Mytilus edulis: one gene and its partner. The protein of the gene in region 2 interacts with the protein of the main gene of each other region in a biochemical or structural test. Links are inferred from orthologs where the notes say so. Each region holds a gene or a part of one and is shown on either strand. Other genes may lie near its edges.

Region 1 (16,764 bases), on a different chromosome or scaffold from region 2:
AGACTGTGTCGTTTGAAATTTCCAATGAAACTAAGATAATAAAAAGAAGAACTGATCTCTTTGACTGAAAATTTACATATTGATGCCTCCTTTTTCATTACAAATCATGTAGAAAACAAGTTCTGTCATTCTTTGAATAGAGATGCCAAGTCTGACAATGATTTTGCCTGTAATTGAATATTTTGGTGTACATAAACTGTTTATATTCAAAAACATGATACACTGATTATTACTTACAAATTCCACTCCAACAGTTATATCATTCCTGCGTGAGTCCGGTAATACCCCGACCCACTTGACCTCTCCATATTCAGGTCCATTGTCACTGAGCCAGACAATCTGGTTACCGATCCTTAGACCACATTCAGCTATTTCCTGTCGTAAACTTGCAGTAGCTGTATTAACAGCGTGTCTAGATGTTGGATCAGCTCGGATTTTATGCAGAGGCACAAACACCCCACAGTTTGGTTCACAAGTGAAGAACCGTTTCTTACGGAATACTCCATCACAAGTACCTTTACCTCTATGTTCCTGTAATACACAAAGTCATAGGTTATTGAGGTTAATATTTGCTTAAACATTCAGAATGTACAATCAAACCTGCTGTTAAGGTCACTGCTATGAAGGTCACTTCAATTAAGCAAAAACCTGTCACGTCACACTCTTCTTGTCCCACTGTAGTAATACCACATTCAGAAGTCACCTCTCTTATGAATTCATTATACTCTTGATCAGAAGGTGACCTTAAATCATAGTTTAGTAACTCTTGTGTAAAGTATATTAGTTGTGTACAATGCATATAACAAATGAAGATGTGGTATGATTGTCAATGAGACAACTCTCCACCAGTGACCAAATGACATAGAAGTTAACATCTATAGGTCACCTTACCTCACTCCTTCAACAATGAGCAATAAAGAAGCTGGTGTGCATGGTCAGTTCAATATCTTTCAAGATGTTTTAATTATTGGGGAAAAAAACAAGCTAGGTTGTAATCCCAATAATTTAAACTGGCATTTTGGATTTGATGGCAAAATTCTCTCAGTATCACAATAATATTAAGTCATTTTGGGATAAAATGACAAATTTGCAGCAATAATTTGCATAATGAAATTGAGAATGGAAATGGGGAATGTGTCAAAGAGACAACAACCCGACCGAAGAACAGAAAACAGCCGAAGGCCAGGAAACAATTTCAGAATTTGCAGTACAGAATAGTTCTCAATCATACCTCATTAGCATGATAAGTTATATTACTCTCAACATATTTAGTCCAGCATTAATAAATGTCTTTCTGCTGCCTCGAAGATCATCACAACAGCAATTTGATGTCAATCACTAATGCACAAGTGAATTTACATTTTGTTATGGGGAAATGTATTGATATGATTTTGTAAAATGTCACCTGAAAGTCACAAAATGGAGGGTCCTCATTTCCCAGATCACAACAAGCAAATATTTCACTTCCTTTGGTTACATTTTGAGGGATGCAGGCTTGGTACATCCCACAAAACAGATAGATAATTAAGATTTTGTTTATTACATTGATAAGTCTGTTAGGCATGTTAGGATATCACTGACTCATTATCTTGTGTGCTTGCTGACAAAAAGATCAAAGTATCATTTTTATATGCAACAGATCTATTCAAATTATCAAGACAAGAATACTTAGAAATTGTTGAGAGAAAAAGTTTGTGTGAAAATTTGAAAATGTGCATGTCTTCCATGCATAATTTTGTGGAATAATAACTGTTTTTTTTTGTTTTTCTTGTATCAAGCAGGTCTTCTAGATCAGTGCAAGCTTGCACAATATCTTAAAAAAAAAAAAAGGCCTACATGTATGTGACATAAATATTTGATAGTATGCCAAAAAAATTACGCCTACATACATTTGTAAATCTTTAGATTTTCAAAAAATCGACCACGGAAGTTACAAACAGAAATCATTGCAATGATATTAATAAAAAAGCATCATTTACCCCACGACATGGTGAACCACTCCTTAAAATAGTGGTCTGATCGTACAAATAAAAACACAGATTTGGTTTTCCGTAATAGGTCAAAATGTAAGTGACACTAAACGATAACTTTATGTAGTCAAAAGCTAAGAAAACTTCCTTAAGGCGATTCATTTAGTTTCAATGCGGTGAAAAGTCAGGTAAAACCAGATACCAGGACATTTTTCTCGAAAGAAAAGTAAAATAATAACAATTCTATCAAGTTAAAAATAGATCTCCAACATTCCTAACCTGTCGAAATCCATTTAAAAAATTTATGAATGAAAAACTTCAAAAAGTCATGCCCCTGTATGCAGGAAATACATGAACAGTTGCAATTGGTGGCAATGATTTGTGATTTATTTTTTGCAATGTTTTTGGAGGACATTGTGTAAGTCTGATATCCAGAAAATCAATGGCAATAATTTCAGAATTGATCACATTCAAATTTGGTAATCAGATTATTTTCCTTATAAATATTTATATATTTATGCATTTATTATTTGATCCTAATAATCCTAAATACAAATATCAATAAATAATTTTTGTACAAACCAAACTGTAAAAATTATCTTCCAATTTAAAACAATGTTGAATTCAAATCACCAAATATGAGAGGTTTGGGTCTGACTATCATCTTAATATCAGAATTCTAACATAACAAGATAATCTTAAGAATCTGAGTTGTTTCTAATGTAAAGCACAAAAAGGTCAACATGGTCAAGAGCCACGGAAAGGAGTCAATGGTAAAAGTCTACAGATTGCCTGACAGCAAGTTTATTCCAAAAATGTAGGTTGTGAGTTAAAACTAAGCTCTTGGCAAGTGCATTTGACTCTAATCTTAATAGACCATGATTGCCAGTTTTCGTGTAAAGGTACAAAATGTATATCCTTTTATAAGCAACAAATAAACCATATATCTGTGACACAGCTAATATTCCAAAAAGGCCCAAAAAATCAACACAATATTTTTATGCAATGATTCCTGCATTTTGGATTCTATACATTTGTAGGTTTTGTTTGCAGAAATCTGAGGAAAAAGTTGTTACAAGAACATTTGGGTATAGGAGAAAAATAGAATAAACCAACGAATGTTTAAACTTATATATATCATGTATATATACATATTATTACCAAACTGAACAAAGAAATAACACAACGGGTGCCGTATACGGTGCAGGAAATGCCTACCCTTCCGGAGCACCTGATTTCACTCCCGTTTTTTAGTGGAGTTTGTGTTGTTTCTTATTTATTATTTATAACTGTTGATGTAAATGTCCCTTGGTTTTATGAGTCTTTGTTTACTCCTTGATTTTGATTGCTATTGTCTTATATCAGATAAACCAAAGTTGAAGGATAGGTGAATTGAAAAGATATGATGCCCTAAAACATCATGCTACATGCATGTAAAACAACTGAAATATTTATTGAAAGTTTTATTATTCAAAACTTTTTGAAATTTGTTTTCCAAAATATAAATCCATATATATATAGATATGACTTTAACAACTACTAAAAAAAGCTGGTCTGTCAATTTCTGAAAGAAAGAAAAGAATGCATGTACTTTCCTGACAAAAAATAGGACCTTGTACAATACAAGAGTGCACACACTGAAATGTCTCGCCTTCTTTACTAATCATTGATATTATGTTGATACTCCTAAATATAAAGCTTTATTATGACTGTCACATAAACTTAACATAAATCATGAAAATGAGGTCAAGGTCAGTTGAACCATATGCCAGGCAGACATGTACAGCTAACAATGCTTCCATACAACAAACATGACAAATATAGTTGAGCCTATTGCTTATAGTTTAAGAAAATAGACCAAAACACAAAAACTTAACACTGAGCAATGAACCGTGAAAACCAGGTCAAGGTCAAATAAAACCTGCGCGACTGACATATAGACCATAAAATATTTCCATACACCAAATATAGTTGACCTATGACATATAGTATTAGATAAAAAGACCAAAACTCAAAAACTTAACTTTGACCACTAAACCATGAAAATGAGGTCAAGGTCAGATGACATCTGCCCGCTAGACATGTACACCTTACAATCATTCCATCCAACAAATATAGTAAACCTATTGCATAAAGTATGAGAAAAACAGACCAAAACACAAAAATTTAACTATAACCACTGAACCATGAAAATGAGGTCAAGGTCAGATGACATCTGCCCGCTAGACATGTACACCTTACAATCATTCCATACAACAAATATAGTAAACCTATTGCATAAAGTATGAGAAAAACAGTCCAAAACACAAAAACTTTACTATAACCACTGAACCATGAAAATGAGGTCAAGGTCAGATGACACCTGCCAGTTGGACATGTACACCTTACAGTCCTTCCATACACCGAATATACTAGACCTATTGCTTATAGTATCTGAGATATGGACTTGACCACCAAAACTTAACCTTGTTCACTGATCCATGAAATGAGGTCGAGGTCAAGTGAAAACTGTCTGACGGGCATGAGGACCTTGCAAGGTACGCACATACGAAATATAGTTATCCTATTACTTACGGTAAGAGAGAATTTAACATTACAAAAAATCTGAACTTTTTTTTCAAGTGGTCACTGAACCATGAAAATGAGGTCAAGGACAATGGACATGTGACTGACGGAAACTTTGTAACATGAGGCATCTATATACAAAATATGAAGCATCCAGGTCTTCCACCTTCTAAAATATATAGCTTTTAAGAAGTAAGCTAACACCGCCGCCGCCGCCGCCGGATCACTATCCCTATGTCGAGCTTTCTGCAACAAAAGTTGCAGGCTCGACAATAAATTATGTCTGTTACCATGGTTATTGTATATTGGACTGTATGCTGCCTGTATATTATTACTATTTTTTAAATGTTTGTTTTAGCATTGCATAACATGGGTTTTTTCATGGAGTTTTGAAATTTTATACTACAAAATTAATATAACTTCACTTGTTTAACAAAGTTATAACTCATGAATAGTACATCTATGTTACAAGTTATAAATGGCACATGTATCCTTTTTTCAAAGAATTTGAATTTCATGACCTGTATAACCTTCCTTTACTTTTACATACATGTACATTTGTAAGTTGATACCTTAGTCTGCTTCGTTTGTTTTCATTGGTGGAAATTTCCATCCAGGACAATTTATAAGATGAATTTAAATTTTAAAGAAGAAACTGATGTATGTACAATGTACTCTGTAAGTAGTTAAATTTCTTGTTCATGTAAGTAAACATGTGCCATGTATGCATGATTACAGAATTAGAAAATGTAGAATTAAATACATGAAATATATAAATAATGCCTTCAATTTCTAGTATTCATCTGGCATCAGGAAAATTTAAATATTAAATATCTATACTAGTTACATGTAAAAAGTCTTATCTGCTTATACTTTTGTACAATGTACTTTTGCATTGTCACATTCTATAAACATGATAAATAATTATATTTTGTATATATTCTAACAAAATTTTCTGGGGTACTATTCATTGTCCTTATCCTTAATTTCAGGAAAAACAGGAATCAGAAATATGAATACTATAAATTCAGAAATTATTGCGATGTTTTTATTAATGCAAAAATGCCAAAGGTTTACATTGCAATAATTTAAACTCTCGTTTTGAAAAATTTATATGAACTTATTGGATATTTCTCAATATTGCAAAAATTAAGATCGCATTTATAGATTAATTTTAGTCTAAAATGACAAAATCGCGATAATAAATGCACGCAATAATTTCTGAATTATTGTATAAATTTGTTAGCTCTGTACACACTTTTTAATCAAGTTTCATAAATTAGGAATTCAATTGACTTATTAAACAAGTTACAAAAGATGACTGCATTTTAACAGTCAGGGATATAACTCTATCGGGTTATTACAGAAAAATAACATACATTTGTTATTGTGGACTGAAAAATCAAAGAACTGTGATAACATATATGTATGTTACATGTTTCAAAGGGACAATATACATCATCAGTTTAGTTTAAATGTATAAAAGTTCTCTTGATATTACTTTTGTCTATTAGTAAACTTAACTATTGAAAGATACAATGTATAACAGTTCATACATGTAGTTTGTCAATTTTGCATAGTACACCTATATCATGTATATATGTTATTGCAGAAAAAAATTGCCTGTAATAACTAAAGGGTGTTGTCACAGCTTCTCTATATCATATATATATGTATTCTTATTTATTGTAAGAAATAATGACCAGATCTAGAGCATGTAATGTCATGAATGTTCTGCACAAGTTTCTCTGTAATTCCCAAGTGTCTTATATCATGTATATAAAAAGTTATATTCTTTTAATAACCTAGCCTTGTTATCACAGCTAAGTTTATCCCTTAATAGCCTCCGTCTTATTGATTTACCATGGTTAATAAAAAATGTATTAATTAAATTAAAGAATTAGTTATCAAGGCTATGTATTTAGTTTCTGCGCAAAGTCTCAAGAGTTCACTAGAGCCCACTATAAATGAAATAATTTTACAAATAACAAATATATTATGTTATTACAGATTTCAAAAAATTTAAGGAATAAAGAGTAGACAACTCATGAAAGTAACTGTAATCACACACGCAAGTTATTTTCTGTACCCTATAGAGTTATAAATATCTCTGACTGTTTATGCTTTAATTTAAACATGATTTTAATAGGTAAATGTACAGGTACAAAATGTACTTTCATTTTAAATAAGTCCTGCCGACACCTCATGTTGCATTATTACTAAATTTAACTGAATTGTAATAAATTAGATTTTAGAAATCAGTGTATTTTCATCTTACCTGTTATTTCCTGACCTCTGACATAATTTAATTCAAACTTTCCATCTTTTATTTTACTTTCTGTTTCTATCTAAAATTATGTTAATAATGAAAAGCCATTTTGTAAATCTTGCATCATCAAGAACAGAGATATGGGACTCACTTCATAATGCTTGAAAACATGTTTAACAGAGAAACATGTGCAGAAAATTTTAGTAATATCTCGAATAAATCCGGATATTTTTGTCCGATACTGTTCCGCGGACTAGTATCTTATGATAAACCTCTGAAATATTTTGAGGATAGGGCTTCTTACCGGAGCTAATTCGACTCCAAATTGGATTCCTTTTTGTCCTGGTAGCTCTCCTCTATACCTGAGAAGGCCCTGTAACTCAGGGTGACCTTTTAAATAAACAATAACTCCATCTCCAACCTTTAAATTGAGGCCCTCTTGAAGCCAATTACTGTTCATGTAAACTGCAATCCTTTCACTACATACTGGGATAGGCTGTAATAGTTGTAGTTCCAATCTATCAATTTGTTTTATTTCATCGAATACTGGTTTACATTCTACTTCAATGTTTTCCGGTTCTAATGTTTCTAGGGTCCAAATTGCAATCCCATTTTCGTCCCTCTCACTATCGCTTACTCTAAGCAGAAGTGTGCCAGCTAGGACTTCCACACGAGAATATGATTTTCTAAGAATTCCTGACTCCTTCTTTTTCCCTATCTTTGTAGTAAGAAGTATATAGTATTCATCTTGAGGATATTCAGACATATCCAGTCCTATTTCATCGACATTTGTTTATATTCGTGGCATCATCAAACGGGGAATCATTATCGAACTTTGGGGAACTCCAAAACGCTTAAAATAGACTGATACGTCATAATACCACAACAAAAGACAACGAACGACATATGATACTTATGGAACGCGTAAAGCACATTAATAGATAATCACAGTTTATCGGCGACAATGATAGATTATCGGTCGACCATTATAGATGTACGGCGTAAAGTATACTTTACGGTCGACCATCATAGATGGTCTAATTAATGTGACTCGCGCGCAGACAATGATAGTTACTTCTTTGATAATGCATTTACAGTCGACAAGGTGAATTGTTTCGACAATGATAGTTAACCTCGACCAAGTGAATTAAAACACAAGTCGTAAATTTGATAATTTTAGATAAAACCGGAAATGCTAGCCAATTGTAAAATCGATTTTGATTGGCGGTCAACTTATTTTCTTTGGAAGTTAATTCCTTGAAAATAATTCCTTAAAGCAAAAGTTACCCTTTCTAAAACATGTTCAACAGGTGTTTTAAAAAATAAATTTCGGACTTCACATCCTTGTATTAACTATGATGGTAAAGTGCATCGGACTATTCGTGCAACAGAATGGACACAAGAGGAACATAGTTTCCAATTTTCAATCCTCGAATATTGAAGCTTCTTGTAAAATTTAAAAGTTCCACACATAAATAAAGTTTTGTTTTCTCTATCGTTTACAAAGTAAAATACCTTTTATTATCATATACATGTATATTTGTATTTTTTCTCTTAAAGGTTTGATTTTTACAGGTAAATGCATATTACAGGTGGCTAGATGATCACATGTTTACCTGTAATATTGCTAAGAGGTGTCAGAAGTTAAATTTCTATAACAACTGACCCCAATAAACGTTGACATAACAGGGAAAAAGTGTTTTTTAAAGAATTTTATAATCAATAAATTAATTCGAGACTGTTTAACAGTAAGAAACAAATTTTCAACATTCATAAACAAGAAATCTTTAAAGATTTATGCTCTATGGTTCTTTTTTTGTGTGTAATTATTTGGGTTGTTCTTTTGTTCAGAAATCTATATATCATTTCATATAATAATATTTTATGAAGTTAGTGTGTCTTAACACTGATTAGGACTCCTAAGTGCACTAAAAACTTATAATACGACACTCTTGACAAGAAGGAGTACTATTAAATGTAAAAAAAAATCATGTTTTGTTAGAAATTGATATTTAATGCATAAACTCAAAATAATAAAATAAACAGAATAACAAATAAATGAAGTATTTAACAATGTTAATCTTGCCGGTTTTTCTTTGATTTTACCGAAAATCGATGAACCGCAAGATATGGGTCAAATTACATATCTGATTACTCTATTATCTTAAAAAAAAATGAAAATTTTAAACTTATTTGCATAAGAAAATATCTCAGACATTATATATGTTTAACATAGAAAATACTTTAAGATTCCGTGAATATTATTTTTAATAAGACATCTATAGATAAAAGCTTAAGTGTACCTTGGTGAATTCAATGTTGTGATGTCATAGCAGATCTTAGAATACAGAAAGTTGTTACTTATAACGATATTTTTATGAATTGACAAAAAAACATTTGTCCCGGGTAACCGTCCTCCCCCTCTATGATTTGTTATTGCCGAAGTGGGAGGCTAAAGTTTAAAAAAAAAGCCGCGACCTAACACACTACAGAACAGCAGACAGTGGATACAACATTTGATATGTTTTAAAGACACAGTTGGACACAAAATGATTGCACTGGGTAACTTCAACTATCACATGATGCCCTATGAATTAATTGACATACTTGAGCTTGTCTTAGGAATATATTCTCAATGAACAAAAACGATTTCAGTAAATGTTTACTATAAAAACAGACAACAGACTTGCTGTCTTGAATACAATTGTGGCTTGTATTGTTTAATTCATTTTTAAAGCAACATTTGATCGATTGTTGGTATGTGTTTTCTCATTTTTACGGCTGTAATTTGTTTTCAGCTTTGCCAAATTAGTGGAGATAACTCAGATAAAGTATTTTTACAATTATAGAAATGACCTATTTTAATATGTAGCATTTGATTTTTTTTTTGGGGGTGGGGGGTGCTATGGATTTTTTTTTGGAAAAAAGTTTGTTTCCAGGTTTTGGAGAAAAATAATATTTGTTTTTGACCTTGAGAAAAAAAAGTGTTTGTTTCATCCTCAGCTGCCACTATATGTAATTCTAAAATTGAAAGAAAAAAATTGTTTTCGTCTTTTCGCCAAAAAAAAGTTTGTCCAGAAAAAAAAGTCCTTGCCCCTCCCCCGAAATTCAAATCTGCCTAAGAGCTATATACCGTAATTTTGATTACTTTTTTCTCAGTAAATTTTTAAATAGATATAGAATTAATGAGTGCAATTTAGAAAAAAGGAAAATTCATTTACATTCTTCAAAAATGAAAAAAAGTATTAAAGGTTATTTTCCAATATTCCCGTTGTTTGTGCATGACTCTTCGATAACTAAAAAGAAGAACCAGACTTTCATAAAAAAAATTAAGAAGATGTAGTATGATCGCCAATGATTCAACTCCAAAATAGACCAAATGACACAGAAATTAACAACTGTATGTTACCATATGGCCTTCAATAAGGAGCAAAGTCCATACCGCATAGCTATAAAAGGCCCAAAATGACAAATGTAAAAACAATTTATGCACGGAATCATGAAAACAAATATGTTTTACAGCAACAAACGACAACCACTGAATGGATCCTGACTTGGGACAGGCACATATAGAATGTGGTGGGTTAAAACTTATTCGAAGACACTAACCCTCCTAATATCCTGTGACAGTGATAAAACAGTACAACATAAGAATAAACTATAATTAAATTTAGTGGAAAAAAGCTTATATCATCAGTTGGGTACAAACAAAAATACATCTAACAAACCAAAAAACACAGAGTGCTATGACTATAGGATATTAATCAAGTGACTGCTATGATCGTAGGTTATTCTTCACGTAACTGCTTTGACTAAAGAATATTCATGATATTCATCAAGTAACTGTTTCTACTATATGATTTAAATCAAAGTAATTGTTATGATTAAAGGTTACTTATTAAGTACATGCTATGACTATAGGTTATTCATCAAGTGTCTGCTATGACTATAGGTTACTATAGAATATTCGTCATTAAACTGCTATGACACTACGATATTCATCAAGTACCTACTTTGACAATAGGATATTCATAAAGTACCTGCTATGACAATATTATATTTCTTGTGAAACTGCTATCACAATAGGATATTCATTAAGTAACTGCAATGATTGCAGGATATTCATCAAGCAATTGCTATGACGATAGAACATTCAAAAAGTTATGACTATATGATAATCAACAAGTAACTGCTTTGCCTATATGATATTCGTCAAGTAACTCCTATGACAATTTGATATTCAACAAGTACCTGCTTTGAGTTAGTATATGATATTTATCAAGTACATGATATAGCAATAGGATATTCATCATGAACTGCTTTGACTATAGGATATTCATCAAGTAACTGCTTTGACAATATAATATTCATCAAGTACATGCTTTGCCAATATGATATCATTCAAGTAACTGCTACGACTATAGGATATTCATCAAGTACATACTTTGGCAATAGGATATCTTTCAAGTAACTGCTATGACTATATGATAAACTTCAAGTACCTGCTATGACAATAGGATATTCATCAAGGAACTATTATGACGATCGGATATTTACCAAGTCCCTGCTTTGACTATAGAATATTTATTAATTCCCTTATTTGAATATAGAATATTCAACACGTAACTGCTATGACAATAGAATATTCTATCAAGTACATGCTATGACAATAGGATATCCATCAAATAACTGCTATGACTATAGCATATTCATCAAGTACCTGCTATGACAATAGAATATTCATCAATTCCCTTATTTAAAATATAGGATATTCAACAAGTAACTGCTATGACAATATGATATTCATCAAGTACATGCTATGACAATAGGATATCCATCAAGTAACTGCTACGACTATAGGATATTCATCAAGTACATGCTTTGGCAATAGGATTTCTTTCAAGTAACTGCTATGACTATATGATAATCTTCAAGTACCTGCTATGACAATAGGATATTCATCAAGGAACTATTATGACGATCGGATATTTACCAAGTCCCTGCTTTGACTATAGAATATTTATTAATTCCCTTATTTGAATATAGAATATTCAACACGTAACTGCTATGACAATAGAATATTCATCAAGTACATGCTATGACAATAGGATATCCATCAAATAACTGCTATGACTATAGCATATTCATCAAGTACCTAATATGACAATATTATATTCATCAAGTAACTGCTATGACTATAGGATATTCATCCATTCTCGTATTTGAATGTAGGATATTCAACAAGAAGCTGCTATGACTATAAGATATTTATCTAGTAACTTCTATGACAATAGGATATTCATCAAGATCTTGATATGACAATATGATATTCCTCAAGTAACTGCTATGACTATAGGATATTCATCCTTTCTCGTATTTGAATGTAAGAGATTCAAAAAGCACCTGCTTTGACTAAAGGATATTCATCAATTCCCTAATTTGAATGTAGGATATCCAACAAGTAGCTGCTAAGAATATAGGATATCCATCCAGTACCTGCTATGACTAAAGGGTATTCATCAAGTTACTGCTATGACAATATGATGTTGAAAAAGTACCTGCTTTGACAATAGAATATTCTTCATTAAACTGCTATGACAGTATGATATTCACCAAGTACCTACTTTGACTATAGGATATTCATAAAGTACTTACTCTGACAAAAAGATATTTCTCAAGTAACTGCTATCTTAAGAGGACTTTCATCAAGTAACTGCTATGATTGCAGGATATTCATCAAGTAACTGCTATGACTGCAGATTATTCATCCAGCATCTGCGATGACAATAGGATATCTTCAAGTAACTGATATGACTATAGGATGTTCATCATGTACCTGATTCGACTATACGATATTCATCAATTTTCTTATTCTAATGTAGGATATCCATCCAGTACCTGCTATGACTAAAGGGTATTCATCAAGTTACTGCTATGACAATATGATGTTGAACAAGTACCTGCTTTGACTATAGAATATTCTTCATTAAACTGCTATGACAGTATGATATTCATCAAGTACCTACTTTGACTATAGGATATTCATAAAGTACCTGCTATGACAATGTTATATTTCTCAAGTAACTGCTATCACAATAGGATATTCATTAAGTAACTGCAATGATTGCAGGATATTCATCAAGTAACTGCTATGACAATAGAACATTAAAAAAGAACCTGTTATAACTATATGATAATCAACAAGCAACTGCTTTGCCTATATGATATTCGTCAAGTTACTCCTATGACAATATGATGTTGAACAAGTACCTGCTTTGACTATAGAATATTCTTCATTAAACTGACATGACAGTATGATATTCATCAAGTAACTGCTATGACTATAGGATATTCATCCTTTCTCGCATTTGAATGTAGGAAATTCAAAAAGCACCTGCTTTGACTAAAGGATATTCATCAAGTACCTGATATGATTATACGATATTTATCAAGTAACTGCTATGACTGCAGGATATTCATCAAGTAACTGCTAGTACTATAGAAAAATTAACAAGTACCTGCTATGACAATAGAATATTCCTCAAGTAACTGCTATGACTATAGGATATTCATCAAGTACCTGATATGACAATATGATATTCATCAAGTAACTGCTATGACTATAGGATATTCATCAAGTACCTGATATGACGATAGGATATCCATCAAGTAACTGATATGACTATAGGATATTCATCAAGTACCTGATATTACAATATGATATTCATCAAGTAACTGCTATGACTATAGGATATTCATACATTCTCGTATTTGAATGTAGGATATTCAACAAGAAGCTGTTATGACTATAGGATATTCATCATTTAACTGCTATGACTATAGGATATTCATCATTTAACTGCTATGACTATATGATATTCATGAAGTTCCTGCTATGATAATAGAATATTCATCAAGTAACTGCTTTGACTACAGGATATTCATCAAGTACCTGCTTTGACTATAGGATATTCATCCATTCTCGTATTTGAATGTAGGATATTCAACAAGAAGCTGTTATGACTATAGGATATTCATCATTTAACTGCTATGAAAATAGGATATTCATCATTTAACTGCTATGACTATATGATATTCATGAAGTTCCTGCTATGATAATAGAATATTCATCAAGTAACTGCTTTGACTACAGGATATTCATCAAGTACCTGCTATGACTATATGATATTCATGAAGTACCTGATATGACAATATGATATTACTCAAGTAACTGCTATGACTATAGGATATTCATCCATTCTCGTATTTGAATGTAGGATATTCAACAAGAAGCTGTTATGACTATAGGATATTCATCATTTAACTGCTATGACTATAGGGTATTCGTCATTTAACTGCTATTACTATATGATATTCATGAAGTTCCTGCTATGATAATAGAATATTCATCAAGTAACTGCTTTGACTACAGGATATTCATCAAGTACCTGCTATGACTATATGATATTCATGAAGTACCTGATATGACAATATGATATTACTCATGTAACTGCTATGACTATAGGATATTCATCCATTCTCGTATTTGAATGTAGGATATTCAACAAGAAGCTGTTATGACTATAGGATATTCATCATTTAACTGCTATGACTATAGGATATTCATCATTTAACTGCTATGACTATATGATATTCATGAAGTTCCTGCTATGATAATAGAATATTCATCAAGTAACTACTTTGACTACAGGATATTCATCAAGTACCTGCTTTGACTATAGGATATTCATCAATTCTCTTATTTGAATGTATTTACATGTACATGATTTGGAGCAGATTTTATTTTGCAGGAATAAATTTGTATTTCAGAAAGAAATTTATTCATAAAATAAGAAGGATTAGCATTTTTTTTTAATAAAATAGAAATTGGATTCCAAAAAAAAGGGAGGGCTAGATGGGTTTTTGTTGGCATTGGATGATTTACAAAGATAAGTTGCATGTACGCATCATGATAGATGTAAATTCTGAAGCTATAATTAGTTAATTTGTTAGTTTTTCCATTTCAGTGGCATGAAAACCCCCCCAAATACTAAGCGTATAATTTCGACGAATACTCTCGACTTACAGTGTAATGTAACATTTTGCTCACATTTTTTTAAATTTTACCCCGAACATTTTTCTGAGTAAAAGCAGTTTGAAGTGAATGTCAAAATTTGAACATGACCTTGTCCTTGACCTAATTTTCTAAGTTGGGACCCAAGGACCTTCAATAAAGCGACTCTATGTTTATACGGCTTACGGTTTATGAGTTTATATGCATATCACTTATATCAAATGCATAAGGGGAAAGAACTTTGGTGCAATCCAAGTCATCATCTTGAAGATATAGCAAGCACTTTGGTAAAATAAATTTGTCGTAATTTTTTACGGTTGTGAAGGAGTAGTGGACACAAGGAAAACAGTGTTCGGGGAGATAACACTTACAATGTAAAGTGTACGGTTTAACAGGGTCAGTTTCAAAAGCGCAATAACTGTTCGATATCATATGCGAAAAAATCTAGGCGACATCTTGCGAAACCACAATACTACGTAAGAACAAAATGTGGCGGAAGAAAAACAATAAATCTCAGAACAAAACCAATAGGTCTTTCCACGGAAAAGTTTAAAGACCTAATAATCAAAACCAAATAAATGGGTCTTTCCACGGAGAGGTGGAAAGACCTAATAATCAGAACAAAATCAATAGGTCTTTCCACGGAAAGGTAGAAAGACCTAAGTAATATGATTGTCAATGAACTATGAAAGTTTTACTATTATTCTAGCAAATAACCTTATGTCATCTCCGTGCCTATATCATCGTCCTAAGAATATATGAAATATTTGCCTCTGAACGTTAATCAACCAATAATCGATAATTCATTAATATGTCAAACCATTGAAGGTAACATGGAAACTACGTACAAACTAGTATGATTGTCAATGAACCATAAAACTTATACTATTATACTACCAAACAGCCTTGTCTCTATATTATAGCCCTAAAAAAACATGAAATATGTGCCACTAGATGTTAAGCGACCACAATCAAGATTTCATCGCTATATCATTTCAAACCTTATACAGAACATGAAAACTAGTTATAAATCAATATGACTGTCAATGAACTATGGAAGTTATACTATAATACTAGCAAACAACCTTCGGCCATCACTATATCATCGTCCTACACATACATGAAATATTTGTCACTGGCATTAAAACAATCACAATCAATAATTCGTCGTTATTTCAAGTCAAACCTTAGTTGGAAACATGGAAAATAAATACAAATTAATATGATTGTCGATGAAATATAGATGTTATACTATTATACTAGCAAATAACCTTAGGTCATCACTATATATATATATATATAGCTATTTCATCGTCCTAAACATACATGAAATATGTTCCACTGAACGTTAAGCAACCAACAGTCAATATTTCATCACTATTTCAAACCATTGAAGGTAACATTGAAACTAATATGATTGTCAGTGAACTATAGAAGTTATACTACTATAAAAGCAAACAACCTTATATCATCACTATACCATCATCCTACACATACATGAGATACTTGCCACTGGGTTTTAAGCAATCAACAATATATAATTCTTCGCCAATCGTATCAAACCTTAGAAGTTACCATGCAACCTGATTACAAATAATATGATTGTCAATGAGCTACCTATGGAAGTAATGCTATTATAATACAACAGATCGTTGGCGTTTTAATGGGCGGAGTTGCCTTCCTGGAAATATTTTATATTGCTATATTTGACAATGACCATAATAATAAACAATAAAATAAAGCAATATCTTACAAAAATAATATCAAATTGCACAAAAGAACGAGAAATAATGGATTTAATATATTCAAAGAAGACGGTGAACAAAAACTATTTGAATTTAATTCCTTTACAAATTGCGAGAATTATTAGAAACAATAGCAACATG
Region 2 (16,700 bases):
TCAAGAGCCTGAATCGCTCACTTTATATTTTTTGCTTAAATCTTCCATGAATGATTATTTTGGGTTTTCAATTTATATAAATGGTTCTGGAATTCTGTCATATCTTCTTCAAAAGCAAAAACAAGAGTGGACACACTGAAATGTCTCGTTTGTCTCGTGTTCATAATATAATTTATGATGAAAGTATAAAAAAACATTGTATACCCCAAGCATTAAATTATTGCTGTTTACAGTTTATCTACATGTATAATAATATTCAAGATAATAACCAAGAAGAATGTGTCCACAGTACACGGATGCCCCACTCGCACTATCATTTTCTATGTTTAGTGGACCATGAAATAAACGTGGAATAAATTCTCTAATTTGGCATTAAAATTAGAATGATCTTATCAAAGGGAACATGTATACTAAGTTTCAAGTTGATTGGACTTCTACTTTATCAAAAACTACCTTGACCAAAAACTTTAACCTGAAATTTGCACTATCATTTTCTATGTTCAGTGAACTGTAAAATTGGGGTCAAAACTATAATTTGGCATTTAAATTAGAAAGATCATATCATAGGGCACATGTATACTAAGTTTCAAGTTGATTGGACTTCAACTTCATCAAAAACTACCTTGACCAAAAACTTTAACCTGAAATTTGCACTATCATTTTCTATGTTCAGTGAACCGTAAAATTGGGGTAAAAACTATAATTTGGCATTTAAATTAGAACGATCATATCATAGGGCACATGTATACTAAGTTTCAAGTTGATTGGACTTCAACTTCATCAAAAACTACCTTGACCAAAAACTTTAACCTGAAGCAGGACAGACGGACGAACGAACGGACGAACGAACAGACGAACGGATGGACGCACAGACCAGAAAACATAATGCCCCTCTACTATCGTAGGTGGGACATAAAAACAGCAAAATTTCCTTAAAATTACCAATTCAGGGGCGGCAACCTAACAACGGGTTGTCCGATTCATCTGAAAATTTCAGGGCAGATAGATCTTGACCTGATAAACAATTTTACCTCATGTCAGATTTGCTCTAAATGCTTTGGTTTGTGAGTTATAATTATAAACTAAAAACTGCACTTTACCCCTATGTTCTATTTTTAGCGATGGCGGCAATCTTGGTTGGTTAACCAGGTCACCGGACACAATTTTTAAACTAGATACCCTAATAATGATTTTGGCCATGTTTGGTTAAATTTGGCCCAGTAGTTTCAGAGGAGAAGACTTTTGTAAAAGATAACTAAGATTTACGGAAAATGGTTAAAAATTGACTATAAAGGGCCATAACTCCTAAAGGGGTCAATTGACCATTTCGGTCATGTTGACTTATTTTTAAGTCTTACTTTGCTGAACACTGTTGCTGTTTACAGTTTATCTCTATCTATAATAATATTCATGATAATAACCAAAAACAGCAAAATTTCCTTAAAATAACCAATTCAGAGGCAGTAACCTAACAATCGGTTGTCTGATTCATCTGAAAATTTCAGGGCAGATAGATCTTGACCTGATAAACCATTTAACCTCTGTCAGATTTGCTCTAAATGCTTTGGTTTTTGAGTTATAAGCCAAAAACTGATTTTACCCCTATGTTCTATATTTAGCCATGGTGGCCATCTTGGTTGGTTGGCCGGGTCACTGGACACAATTTTTAAACAAGATACCCCAATGATGATTGTTGCTAAGTTTGGTTCAATATGGCCTAGTAGTTTCAGAGGAGAAGATTTTTGTAAAAGATAACTAAGATTTACGGAAAATGGTTAAAAATTGACTATAAAGGGCCATAACTCCTAAAGGGGTCAACTGACCATTTCGGTCATGTTGACTTATTTGTAAATCTTACTTTGCTGAACATTTTTGCTGTTTACAGTTTATCTCTATCTATAATAATATTCATGATAATAACCAATAAAGGGCTGCGCTTTTGTGCATGATACGCCGTTGCTCTTTTAACTTGTCTTTTATGCTTTAAATGAATTTATATGATCAACTAGAAATATATATACAAATCAAAAGGGATGTTACATTAATATATTCACCAAAGTTTCATAAAATCCCCCTTTTTTAAGTATAACAAGAATGTGTCCTCAGTACACAAATGCCCCACTCGCACTATCATTTTACATGTTCAGTGGACCGTGAAATTGGGATAAAAACTCTAATTTGGCATTAAAATTAGAAAGATCATATCATAGGGAACATGTGTACAAAGTTTGAAGTCAATTGGACTTCAACTTCATCAAAAACTACCTTGACCAAAAACTTTAACCTGGAGCGGGACAGATGGACGGACGAACAGACGGACGAACGAACGGACGCACGGACGAACAGACCAGAAAACATAATGCCCCTCTACTATCGTATGTGGGGCATAAAAATTCATTACTTAAGAAAACATAAAATCTAAAATTTATAAAAATGGAAAGGCAGCTTATGTCAATAGATATAAACAATTTATCAAAGTTGCATAAAATTTTGTGAAAGTGTTAGTTATTGTCCCAAAATTGGAAAATCCCCCCTTTTTTTAGCATAAAAATTCATAACACGGAAATGTAAAATCTGAAATTTAAAAAAAATTGAAAGAGAGCCTACATCAATAGATATAAACAATTCACCAAAGTTTCATGGACATTGGTGAAAGCCTTTTTGAGTTATTGTCCAAAGTGTTGAAAATCCCCCTTTTTTTAATGAATAAAGCCCCATAAATCCAAAACTTAAAATCTGAAATTTATAAAAATTGAAAGGGAGCTTACATCAATAGATATAAACAATTCACCAAAGTTTCATGGACATTGGTGAAAGCCTTTTTGAGTTATTGTCCAAAGTGTTGAAAATCCCCCTTTTTTTATGAATAAAGCCCCATAAATCCAAAACTTAAAATCTGAAATTTATAAAAATTGAAAGGGAGCTTACATCAATAGATATAAGCAATTCACCAAAGTTTCATGGACATTGGTGAAAGCCTTTTTGAGTTATTGTCCGAAGTGTTGAAAATCCCCCTTTTTTTATGAATAAAGCCCCATAAATCCAAAACTTAAAATCTGAAATTTATAAAAATTGAAAGGGAGCTTACATCAATAGATATAAACAATTCACCAAAGTTTCATGGACATTGGTGAAAGCCTTTTTGAGTTATTGTCCGAAGTGTTGAAAATCCCCCTTTTTTATGAATAAAGCTCCATAAATGCAAAACTTAAAATCTGAAATTTATAAAAATTGAAAGGGAGCTTACATCAATAATTATAAACAATTCACCAAAGTTTCATGGACATTGGTGAAAGCCTTTTTGAGTTATTGTCCGAAGTGTTGAAAATCCCCCCTTTTTTATAAATAAAGCCCCATAAATCCAAAAATTATAACCTGAAATTAAAAAAAAACGAAAGGGAGCTTACGTCAATAGATATCAACAATTCACTTAAATTTCATGGAAATTGGTGAAAGTGTTTTTGAGTTATTGTCCGTAGTGTGGACGATGGACGGACGGACAGACGGACAACGGTATACCATAATACGTCCCGTCTAAAAGACGATGGGCGCATAAAAACATCAAAATTTCCTTAAAATTACCAATTCAGGGGCAGCAACCTAACAACGGGTTGTCCGATTCATCTGAAAATTTCAGGGCAGATAGATCTTGACCTGATAAACAATTTTACCCCTTGTCAGATTTGCTCTAAATGCTTTGGTTTTTGAGTTATGAGCTAAAAACTGCATTTTACCCCTATGTTCTATTTTTAGCCATGGCAGCAGGGCTTTCCATTGAAGCCGGTAGCCGGCGGAAATCCGCCGTTTGCGGTGGCTTCAAGTGCCGGCTACTTCACTGACAAAAATATAAATTCAAAAAGAAAATAATATCTTTTTCAAATGTTTACAGGCAGCCGAGAGACGTATTTTCGCAAAGTCGCGGTCACGATAAACAAGGATGAAAAGTCAGTGTTTACCTTGGGCTAAATATAGTTCACATGAATTCAGGTCACTGATTGGTTGTCTGTTTAAAGTCAGAATGCATCGTTTCTTTTCAAAGATAACAAGAGAGACGTTCCGGTGGTCATTGAATGATAACAATAGAGACGTTCCGAGGGTCAATAACTCGTTGGCTTTTTTACTTTTAAAACGTGAAGACAATCAGATAGGATGACAATCTTATGTTATGGAATAATATCAGTCAAATTAAAGAAAGTGTAGTAGATCATAATGTTCAGAATCTTGAAAACAGTATCTTTTGAAGTTCATTTTTCAAGGCCCACGTGGTGTTCAGAGAATCAAGGTCAAAAACGAAAGTAGAATATTGTCGACTCGACCTCAAATAAATAACATTTCCAAATAATTTATGTATCCGACTTATTGAACAGTTTAAAAGAGAAAATCAGAGGATATATCAATTTTCTGTCAATGCTTGAAAAATAATTGTATGATTTTAGTTACGCGTACCAGTCTTTAGAGAGAAAAGGGGGGTCATTTGTTTACAAATGCACGTAGTTCTGCAAAATAAATCGATGAAGATTTTTAACAAACCGGATTATTATATAAATAAATCTCTTTTAAAAGTAAATGAATTTTAAGCATAAATAAATGAAAATAAAAAACTATAACATAAAAAAAAAAAGTCTTTGAGATTTTTTTTTTCTTTAATTTCATACATAAAAAATGGTCATTTGAAAGATGAAATTAGGTGCCAGGAGATTGCGAGAATGCAGGATTTTGCTCTATTTATGGCAGAGCTTCTGGGGGCCTTGAGCGGCCCCCAGACCCCCTGCCGTAAGGCACCAAGCTTACAGCTTGGTGGACGTCCGGCTTCGCCGAACGCATGTTACAGCCGCCTATAATTTTAATTCAGCCTTCTACTTCAATTTCAATGGAAAGCCCTGATGGCGGCCATGTTTTTTGATGAAATGGGAATTAAAACACAAACTTTATTCTAGATACCCTAGGAATCAATCAGATGAAGTTTGGTTTGAATTGGTTCAGTAGTTTCAGAGGAGAAGATCTTTGAAATAGTTTACGACGACGACGGACAAACGACAACGGACGCCAAGTAATGGCAAAAGCTCACATTTCCTTTTGGAAAGGTGAGCTAAAAAACAATTTCTTTAGGTAAAAACCATGATTAACATATAAATCGGTGAAGACGAATTTGACAGCTAATTCTCCTTTAAGGGAGTCCATATGGGTTCAGTAAACAGGATTTTTTATGCCATACACCAACAGGAAATCCTGAATGATACACCATTCAGTGTGTAAAGAAAGTGGAAACAGTTTCTGGGATCTTTAGCAAATTAAAGGGGCACTAGCTACGAGATATATACAAAATCTAAAATTTGATTTTTTTTTTTGTTCAATCAATAATGAAAGTGAAATAGTGAAATAACAATTCGCTTTTGCAGCCAAAAAGGTTCAATTTTGTCAAATTACGCTAAGAAACATTGATAATTAGTTATTCACTTGCAAGTGAATGAGTCAACCTCTTAAAACCCGTATTCATGTGAACTTCAATTTAACCCCTAGCTAGAGATAGACAACGCATGCATTGTACGTGTACTGGTTATTTAAAGAAAAGGAATGACAACAATGAAAGTGAAACTACGGTAAAACATTTGATTACTAATCGATGCACATAAAATCATTCTTATACTGTTAAAAACAATGAGAAACATCTATTTTTAATCTATAAAATATAATCAAACAGACCTATAAAGCTCCAATTGCACGTGTTGGTTTAATCTATTCATATCTTTATTTATGTTTACATCGCTTTTATGGTCATCTGAAGTCAAATAGATAGTTAATTGGATGGCGTCTGGACTAAAAAACAAACGAAACGAACCTATATATTATCTACCCCATGCTCTGTAAACTGTTTATTTTAGACGTTTGATAGTTAGGATTAATCACGATTAATGTTTTACATTGTTATAAATCAAATATGAGAATTTGAATCAAATCGGTGTTCATGAATTTGACAGCTAGTGCCCCTTTAACATGTACATCATTGCAACATGTACTATAATGTCTTTCAATAGTAATCAATCATTTCAGATTTTGAGATATACCTTTGCCTTCAACTCTAGTTCTGCATTTTAAATTTTGTCTGCCAGTTGGCAGTATTTTTTTTCTAAATTACTTCAATATAAATTTCCCATATTTTACCCATTAATTCAATCTACTATAGAAGCAGTATCATGAACTTATCAGTGCTTATTGATTATGAAATTAAAGTGGTGTTTAACAGGTCTCTTAAATTATAAAATGTACATGGATATATTTGGCAACAAATTATTTTTAGCTTGGAGATATTTTTTAAAGACTATACCTCAAAGTATTTCCAACAAATTTCTGTATCATTCAACATAATTTCAAATACATGTATATTTACACATCCTTCATGAACCATTTAGAAAAGGGACACTTATGTTAGTTCATAAGGGTCACAGTCACAATCATGTTATATGGATTTCATTGAAAATGGACACTGTAAAAATGCAGACTTTCATGATGTCAATTTACAGAGAAATAGATTAAACTGGCGCTAATGATTGGTTGTTGTCATAAAACGTTGTAATGAATTTAAGTTGTGGTTTCCGCATTCCTTACACCAAGTCTGGCCATGTTCGTGTCGACCTTAACATTTACAATTCAAATTTGGGACCACAGGTACCGAGAGGGCTTGACACTTTTACAATGGGCCAGATATATCAATCTTAACTGCGCTTTTCAGACTCCCAAAATTACCAACTTGTTGATTTAATACATCGTGATGCTGAAAATTCTGAATATGTTGCTGGCGGAAGTGCTTCCTTCGAAAATCCGCAGTGAATAAATGTTGACAAATAAAAATTGAAAAAAAATAAAATAAAGAAATATTTCTTTAGAAAATTCTCATCTAGTCACATGCCAATAAAATATTAAGAAACAAGTGTCTCAAAATGAATCTGTCTTAATCTCAAACTTTTTATTCTTATTTTACCAAAATTTTGCCATGTTTTGTTGAATAAAAAGGATGATTCATCATGTCTCATGAAATTCATTGGATTAATAATCTGTTAGACATTTGCAATTGTGGCTATTTCTATATATTTTGTTAATATTCATTTATTTAATGTACAATATTTTATCTGATGCTTTTTTCGGGCACTTGTTTTTGAGAAATTTAAGAGAACCATTTGAATGTCAATTACTAAATCCGAAACAAAGCAAAAGTCAAAAGAAATAGTTCTGTATGCGAAAATAGAGAAAATCATTACAATTTACCAATGGATAATTTCTTGATTTTAATAAAACTATCGATTTTTTTCTTATCAAGTGATGTGAAAGTTTAAGATATTTAATTTTCATTTTCGGAAACGAAAATTAACTGATTGACATACGGGTTTCAATTTGGCACTGAACAGAAGAAAACATTTGGACGCCATTTTCCACAGAAACTTGATAATCATTGTGGATTTAACAACATCAGACATCCTCCTTCGGGATGGAGGAGACCAAAATCATCTATTATATAGATGACGAAGACACTCCTTATTTAATCAAACTACCTATTCCCGCTGATCGTGTAAATCTTGGTGATTTTAAGAACGCTTTAAACAGACCAAATTACAAATTTTTCTTCAAATCGGTGGATGATGACTTCGGGTAAGTTAAAGCCAGTTGCACACCATGAAAGATCTAGGTGCCCGCAATAATGTTTAATTCAGATTTTCAGAGTATTAGTTAATACTGTCACTTTTGCAGTACGAGAAAAACAACCAGTAGACTACTGGTAAAAAAATATAATTTACAAATAACATAATTTCATTGTATTGCATTAATATACACCTTATCGTGTATTGCATTAATATACACCTTATCGCTATTTGTCTGCCATTACTGGATATCACACAGGTTCACGTAAAATTTTGACTTCATAAAACAAGATATCCGATGCCACAATGGAAAAGTGATTGTTGTTGACGTCAAAAGTTCAAGCGGCCGGGTCAGCCGGGGTTGGCGATAAGGTCAACGGAAAAAAAGTCACAGGAAAAAAAGTCACAAAACCTCTAGGAAAAAAAGTCACAGGAAAAAAAGTCTCAAGAAAAAAAGTCACAGGAAAAAAAGTCACAATTATAAAATTATTTGAAAGAAGTATATAAAATGTTTTATAAGAAGTATGTTGGAATGCACATGACAAAAGTGATTTTGTATATCAGCTGTATGAAATAGATAATTTAAAAAAATGTAGTTTTGTTAAATAAAAATAATACTACTAGTAAAAGTGTATCAGATCAATTATTTTTAAATAAAAGCTTTTAAAATTTATATAGGTAAAGCGCACATCGATATTAACAGATTTCGTTTTATTTATGGGTTAATAAAATAAAAAAATATATGTTTTTCATCATTTTTTTTTTTAATAAATACACCAAAAAAATGAAAAGTGTATTATAATTTATGTTCTCTTTTTAAAACCAAACTCTTAAACAAACAGGATAAGCCATTTGTTTCCTTTTCATTCATGATAAGCCCTAGTTGTTTTTCATGGGTAGGGCTTCCTTCCAAAAGAGGAAGTGAAAGGTCTGCAAAAAAGGGAAAGGTGCCACAAGAAGCCACTAATTAATCTCAACAGTCACTGTCAATAAATGTTGTAATTACATAATTATTGTTAATGGGGATGCTTTGTTTGTTTAACATGTAATTGAAGGATTCTCATGAAATTGGTAAAAACACAGCTATAGAAAAACAAAAATCACAATAACATGTGGTCAAACCATATCATAGACTTTCTAACTTTGACTCAAATTAAAGAAAATGTATGACTTCATTTACTTTTCTATAAAAGAAAAAAATAATTTCAAGTGTTATTAAATCAAGTATGGAAGTCATCAAGAGCAACAAAGGTGGTTCCAAACTTTGCTACCAGGGGTACATGTACACTATTAAAGCATACTACCAGAAAGACAGTACAGTGGTGGAAATGTGTGAAGCGATCCAGCACTGCATGTAAAGGGTCCATTACAACTTCTCTGCAGAATGAAAATCCAACTCCTGGCCAGCCACACAACCATGATCCAAGTGATATTAGCATAAAGTACACTAAGTCCAGGTACGCAATGAAAGAGCAGGCTGCTCTCACCAGAGACAAACCAAGCCAGATCTTCGCCCAGGTTGTTTCAACATGTGAAGATGATGTGCAAGCAATGATGCCCAGAGAAGAGAATTGTAAACGCACCATGCGCAACCAGCGTCCAACACCACCTGTTCCCCAGAGCTTTGTAGATGTCACACTGCCAGCAGAATTCACTATTACAACCAACCACCAACAGTTCCTACTGTATGACAATGGACAGAATGCTGAGAACAGAATGTTGGTCTTTTGTAGTCCTGACAGTTTAAGACGTCTTTTTAAACAGCTGTACACCATCCGAGTACCTTTTAAAGATGTTACAGTCACCACAGTGTATGCTTTCTTGCCGAACAAGAATCAAGATACATACAGAGAGTTATTTCAGTCATTGGTCGACAAATGCCAAGCCAGCCACCTACAGTTAAATGTTCAGACTGTGGTAACAGACTTCGAAGATGGCGTTCTACGTGCAGTGTCGGCAGTATTTGGCCGCCATATCAACAACCAGGGATGTTTCTATCATCTTACACAAGCAACTTGGAGAAAGATACAGAGCCTTGGTTTGGTTCCCCACTACAAGATTAGCGATGACTTCCGCTTGTTCTGTGGTATGATGGACGGCCTTGCCTTTCTGCCTGTAGCTGATTTGCCAAATGGTGTCCACCTGCTAAGAACTTTGTGTCCAGATGACCCACCAGAAGCAGCTGAACTTCTTGATTACTTTGATGCAACCTATGTAAGTGGCAACATGAGACGTAACCCAGCACCAGGTCAAGGTCTCCGTTTAGTAATGCGCCGCACTCCACCCATGTTCCCACCAACTATATGGAATGTCCATGACGCAACAGTCAACGGTGATTCAAGAACCAACAATGTATGTGAAGGTTGGAACAACAAATTCTTCAACTTAGTAGGTTATGCCCACCCATCAATATGGAGAGTAGTAGAATGGTGCCAGAAAGAAGAAGCTACAGTGAGAACCTTGATACAACAAGACGCTGTAGGTGTGAGCCAAAATTTGTTCCTGTGAAAAAAGTTCCAGTGGAACTAATTTCACAGGAAATATGTTCTGGGAGAACTTTTTTCACAGACAATTTCTATATAATTTGTTCCATCTCTATGAAATAAGTTCCACACTTTACTTGGTGAAATAAGTTCTGGGTTGGTGAAATTTGTTCCTTACCTAGTGAAATAAGTTCCATGTTTGTGAGATTTGTTCCTCACCTGGTGAAATAAGTTCTTGATTTGTGAAATTTGTTCCTCACCTGGTGAAATAAGTTCCTTGTCTGTGAAATATGTTCCACTGGTTAAACAAGTTTTCCTATATACTGAGCACTTGTCATTATAAAATACATGTATTATATTGATAATGTAATAAATAAAAAGTGTAAGCATCCAATTGGATCATGTGGAGTAAAGCAAAAGTTTAATAACATGGCAGCTCAAGTAATAATACTAAAAATGGCACTTATGAGCCAGGAAAGAGTAGAATAAGAAATAATAATAAAAGTCATTCCGAAAAAAGTATTATAGTTGAAGATGAATATTTGTACTTTTTTGAAAAGCACAAAGTGGCTGATCAATTATATTAAAAGACATAAAGAAACAAAATACACGCTCTTTAAAAACTGTGCAATGACCATAGCTAAGTACATGTAGGATTAGAACACCCATGACAGATCATCAGGAAACATGGAGGTTGAATACCACATAAACGATCAAACATAGATACATTATCATCGCTTTTATTTCTTATCTTCATGCTAAAGTCATTCCTTCAATTGCAAATGTACCCCATGCAAGCACAGAACTTATTTTCTGTGAAATAGGTTTGAGCAGAACATTTTCATTGATTTCTATAAAATACCTACGTTTAAAACTAATATCCCAAGAACTTATTTCACTTTTTTTTTTAAATTTTAATATTGGAACAAAATTGATGGTGCTGTGATTTTTGTTCCAGAACCTATTTCACACTTGGTTAAAAAATTAGTTCCGGAACAAATTTTATAGTGCTGGAACATATTTTCTGTGACATAAGTTCCAGTGGAACTTATTTCCTATGAAATTTGTTCTGATGGAACAAATGTCACGCCGGAACAAATTTTTTGTTACATAGGCACCCCACCAGTTAAACGGGTCCAACAACGTTATGTCCAACTTCAACTAAGACTTCAAAACTTGTGCAGAGACTTGACATCAGGCAACAAGACCATTGCAGAATTTCTCAGGGGTGTTGGTTGGAACATAAGACTTAACCATTAGTTGTCATCTCTGCTATATATCAAGTGAACTTTAAGTAAAACTATGTGCATCACATGTTCATTATCTGTTGTTCATTGATAAAGACATTTATTTGTGCTTGATTATTTATTATGTTACTATTATTGACTTATATTATTATGATGTATACATTAAATCTACATTACTACATTCAATTCGTTTTGCTTAATTTATTTCTTTAACACTATATCAACAGGTCATACATAAAAAAAAAGGTATGAAACAAAAAGAACTTCAACATGTATCAGTACACGATCTTGTACAGGTGACCTATGTTTGTTAATTTCTGTGTCATTTTGGTCTCTTGTGGACAGTTGGGTACCACATCTTCTTTTTTAATATATCAATACACGAACTTGTACAGGTTTTCTTTTGCTTTGCGATTTTACGTGTAATTACCAAAGCAAAAGAGCATAAGACTTGTAGAAAAATACGTTTAGCTGTCTATAACTAGCATCATTCAAGAAAGATATGAAACAAAACTTATTACAACAAAACATACATTGTATCAGTTCACGAGCGTCTACAGGTTTTCTTTTGCTTTTGTAGAAACATATGCTAAGCTGTCTAATTTGCTTCTAATGTAAAAACACATGAAACAAAAATAATTACAACAAAACATGTATCAGTAACATTACAAAAAAAATCCTTTGAATGACATTGAAGACCTGTTGGTGAACGTCTGCTGTTGTCTGTTCTATTGTCGGGTTGTTGTCTCTTTGACACATTTCCTAGTTTACATTCTAGATTTTATAATAAAACAAAAGGACATGGGATACAAAAAACACAAAACCATACTTGCACATGAACAGCAGAAAAAAAACACACACAGACAAAAGTCATTACCAATATATAAGTGCAGATCATATGACAGTTTTCATACAAAATATTAATTGTGACTTTTTTTCCTGTGACTTTTTTTCCTGTGACTTTTTTTCCGTGACTTTTTTTCCGTGACTTTTTTTCCTGTGACTTTTTTTCCTACATTCGGCGATAAGGTATATTGGAAAATAAAGAGGCAAAAGAAACCAAAGTGATATTTAAACTCATCTATTAGTTTAAAACTAACTGACAATGTTGTGACACAATAACAAACAAGATTATTCAAAACACAACATAGAAAACAAAATACAAGCAACATAAACCCCATTGATGAGGGGGTAGGAGGGGTCCTGATCCCGAAATCCCGGGCTTAAAAACACGAAATCCTGAGGTCCTGAATTTAAATAACTAAAATCCCGACATTCTGAAATTCGAAAAAAAAAATTCCCTGATCCTGAAAAGGTTAATATTGAAATCCAGAGCTTAAAAACACTCGATCCCGGAGTCCCAATAAAGGTCATTACCCCCCCATTGATACTGGGGATGCAGTACTGTCAAGTTTTCATGAAGCAAATATGTAAGATTTAGCCAAGATTGTGAAGATAATAAAGAAAATATGTTTAAGATTGAAGGAATTGCTGCTAAATAAGCATGAAAATTTGTGAGTCTTGGCAGCCATGTGGATGTCTTAGGGGTACAAGTCGGACGACATATGGTCAATACAGCAGCTCCTCTAGAAAAAGACAAATATGCACAGATTTAAAGTCATTTCAGCATTTATATATATTCCTCTGGCATCTAATATTATTTTTTCTGAAATAATTTCTTCAAATAAACAAGATCCATATTTGATCAGGTGCAGATCTGATGTTTCAGAAGTTGTACTTGGTAGATCACATTCTTAAGAAATTTTGTTGTCACACAAGAAATGCCTAACATCACAAGGAAAAGGGATTGTTGTATGAAAAATAATCCCAAATGTTGGATTGAGGAGTTTTAAAAAAAATTATCTCCTTTCCTTTGATCATGTTGATGTTTGAAAAAATGGAAAACTGTGTACTCATATACCTTTACAAAATGTAAATCATACTTACTGGATAGACAATCTAAAACCTTAATTTCAATCTTAACAGACACACACAATGAACAAAAAATAAACACTAAACAGAATATGATGAACAGCCCCAATGGCCTATGACCCCAGTTGAATAATTACTCCTTAAACAAAGGGTCAGTTGAGGTAATATTGATTAATTAGTTTTCAGATAGATCATAGACAAGTCACCTGATATAAAAAAAAAATAACAACTTTGAGTTTTTTAAGGCCCTGTTTAGTGGGAAAGGGCATTGAATATTAACTTTGTTCATCTGTATGTCCTGAAATTGGTTTCCATTCTCATGATTCTTTAAATTTAGTTAACCAAATGTTATGAAACTTATATACATGACAATTAATGCTTATTTAATACCACAAAACACAGATCAAATTTGAATTGACAATTTTTGGGTGGCATCGCTTTCACCTATCTGAAGTAATGCCTCTTTATAAATGGCAAAGTAGCCAACTTTTTTCGTTTCCATTCCCTTGAACTTAAGTTTGCTTCAACCAAATGTTATGAATCTTGTATACATGAAAAATATGAATGACAAATTTATAATTTCAGTGTTGTGAAAGAAGAAATTGTTGATGATGAAGCAAAGTTGCCATGTTTTAATGGCCGAGTTGTTTCTTGGGTATGTACACAATTTTGATAAAAGTATTTTAGTTTACATGAAAATGAAACATTTATGAACCAATGGTTTTATGAATTCTCCTGGTCTCCACAGGACTTTAAAAACTAAAAACAATAATTTTGTTTGCAAAAGTATGAGGACACAAAATATGTTCGATTGTGTCTTAAATTATATTTTTGCCAGTGTCTGCTATCATCAGCATTAAGCTTTAATATGGCATTAATTATATAACTTTCCAATATTTTCTCCTATGAAAGTACTTGGCCAATTGCTACCAAACTCGGACACATTATCCTTGGGTATTCATTTAAATTTTTAAAATAATTTCCCTTTCATGAAACTACAAGGCTAAATGTTTTGAAACTTTATAATATCTTAAAAGCTTTAATTTGGATTTTTAATGACAAGTCATATAAATTATATTCTGGTGCAGTTGTGCTTATCTCATACATGTACAAAATGTATCAGACATACAACATGGGTTTGTCATTTTATCATAATTCAGAAAAAATGCAAGTGTATGTGTCTTTTTGACTGGACCTTTTGTCATAACAGCCACACATTTCCAGTTGTAAAAGTGACATGATGAACAAGTACTATCAAAACATGCCCTACTTTAATATCCACTTATTACAAATTACAATCAAGGTAATAGGTTAACTATAGCTAGTTGTATGACAGCTGAAATTTACCGATTCATAAGAGAGGCAAAGAAATGATTTGCATCTAATTTATTTAGTCAACAATATTTAATATTGCAGCATGTTCAGAAATATTTATTTAAATATGACAATTATGATTTGATCACGTTATCATGATAAATGGTAGAAATACAAGTTTTAAGCGAAATATTGTCAGAACTACACTGTTTTATGTTTCAAATGTGCATGTGTGTCATTTGATTTTGCATCTGAATGCTTAAAATATCATTGAAACCCTAATCTTAATCGTTTTGAGTATTTTCTAGAAAGAAAGATATGGAAAGAACTATTCATACTCAATCATGCTTTGTACAGATTATATGAGGGTGGTAAAGGGGGATCTGAACGCAGAAACACCTGAAATAAAAATCACAAAAAGTTGCATAGTCGGTACTTAAACATCCTGTCAATGTGTTTGTATTATCTTTCATTTTTATGCAGTTAAGCTGCATTATGCGAGCACCCTAGATTTGTGTTCTACCCAATAAATGCTAAAATACTTGCCATTGTTATTATCTAGCTGGCTACTATGTTATATATAACTAATTGAACACTTTTATTACTTTTTATTCTGGATTACAAAAAATATGATCAGAAAAACCTTAAATGATCATCGAATCTCCAAAAGTTTTGAAGTTACACATAGGAAGTAGTGCTCATTAGGAATCCTTGTGTATTTTATTATAACCTGTGCTTTTGGCTAAGATGTCAAAGAACAATTGTATGAAATACTTAATCGCCGAAAATCTCTTAAGACAAGTAGTTTAGATTTCCCAAATGGCAAAAGTCGTAGGAATATTGTTTGTCATCAATACATAGTACAACTACGTCAGTAGTCTATTATATAATAAGTTAACTGTTTGTGCTGTTGGGATTAATTTCAAATAAGGAGACAATTTGTTGTTGTATCTTTTCAATTTGGAGGCAGGGGTGCAAATTAGCAGTGATCCAAGGTTCATGACCTTCCACTTTTGCAAGCGGAATTTCAACTTGGTTTCTAGCTACGCCCGACGGAGTCACCTTCCACTTGAAAGAAAATAAGAAATAACTTTGCAAACCTTTTCACCAAAGTCTTCAAATAAACGATCTAAAAAATTATTTTCATCATTATTATTCATGACAGAGATGTTCATTTTGTTCAACCGCTAGCTTTATACAGAAAATCGCCGACAAATAATGTGTAAATTTGAGTAAATCGTACCTGATTATCAAAAACAACATCGTAAACACAATAACATTGGCTGCCGTGAAGACAAAATTTTACAATATCGTAGTCGATTCCGGAAGCGGATAAGGGTAATTCCAGGTTTTGGCGATCAACTACTAAAAAATCCAGGCGGGTGACAAAATACATCTATGCATGGTAAATGAATATAAACACTAGAATTGAAAACAAAAATATATATATGTAAAAGAAAGAAAAATCAGAAAATATTTTATACCGAAACTCAAAATTACTTTTTTACAAATTTTAATGTCAAAATCCAATACAATGTGACAGCTGGGAACAGTATATCTAACAATATATATGTTCATGGTCACAGTATAAATTTTTCTTTATCATTGAGAAATGATGATATTGCATGTGAGATGCTTTTAAAGTGTAAACATAATTATTACTGCAGTTTTGAAGGGGTATTTTTTTCTCAATTTTCAAGGGTCAATTAAAGTAGCTGGAATTTTTTTACTTTAATTTCACAAATAATGCAACTATATTATATAATACCTGAACGTAAGCAAATCATATGATATAAAGGTGGCGTCCTTTGGACCACTCTACCCCCTCCTGTTTGATAACTTGGAAACGGTTGAGATCACCGTCAGACACGCGAATCAATGAATGTGTTTGTAGATAGATGTTTTTGTGTTCTGTTAAATTGTTCCTTTTAAAATTGTTACAGGATGATGACTGCTGTACCCATATTTTGACTATTTTATTTATTATGTCTATTTAGTTCACGCATGATTGTAAATATAACGGAATTTGATGAGACTCATCAAAGTGAGAGGTTTAGCGCTATAAATCCAGGTTGAATCAGGCATTTTCA

The links.
Region 1: of the proteins of E3 ubiquitin-protein ligase MIB2-like (region 2) and ubiquitin carboxyl-terminal hydrolase CYLD-like, one has a biochemical effect on the other in vitro, tested with the Homo sapiens proteins (2 studies listed by BioGRID, with this or other methods). The link is inferred for Mytilus edulis from reciprocal best matches to the Homo sapiens genes MIB2 and CYLD.

The regions. Positions count from the first base shown.
Region 1 is NC_092348.1:95,288,893-95,305,656, reverse strand, and holds the start of ubiquitin carboxyl-terminal hydrolase CYLD-like, read right to left. Parts: upstream 7,716-16,764; 5' UTR 7,571-7,715; coding exon 7,109-7,570; intron 532-7,108; coding exon 238-531; intron 1-237. UniProt on the Homo sapiens protein: Deubiquitinase that specifically cleaves 'Lys-63'- and linear 'Met-1'-linked polyubiquitin chains and is involved in NF-kappa-B activation and TNF-alpha-induced necroptosis.
Region 2 is NC_092356.1:40,903,476-40,920,175, forward strand, and holds the start of E3 ubiquitin-protein ligase MIB2-like, read right to left. Parts: upstream 6,836-16,700; 5' UTR 6,745-6,835; exon of another isoform or gene 6,326-6,744; intron 5,819-6,325; exon of another isoform or gene 5,704-5,818; intron 1-5,703. Other genes in the region: segment polarity protein dishevelled homolog DVL-3-like, read left to right, coding at 7,484-7,644, 13,882-13,951; uncharacterized protein, read left to right, coding at 9,099-10,142. UniProt on the Homo sapiens protein: E3 ubiquitin-protein ligase that mediates ubiquitination of Delta receptors, which act as ligands of Notch proteins.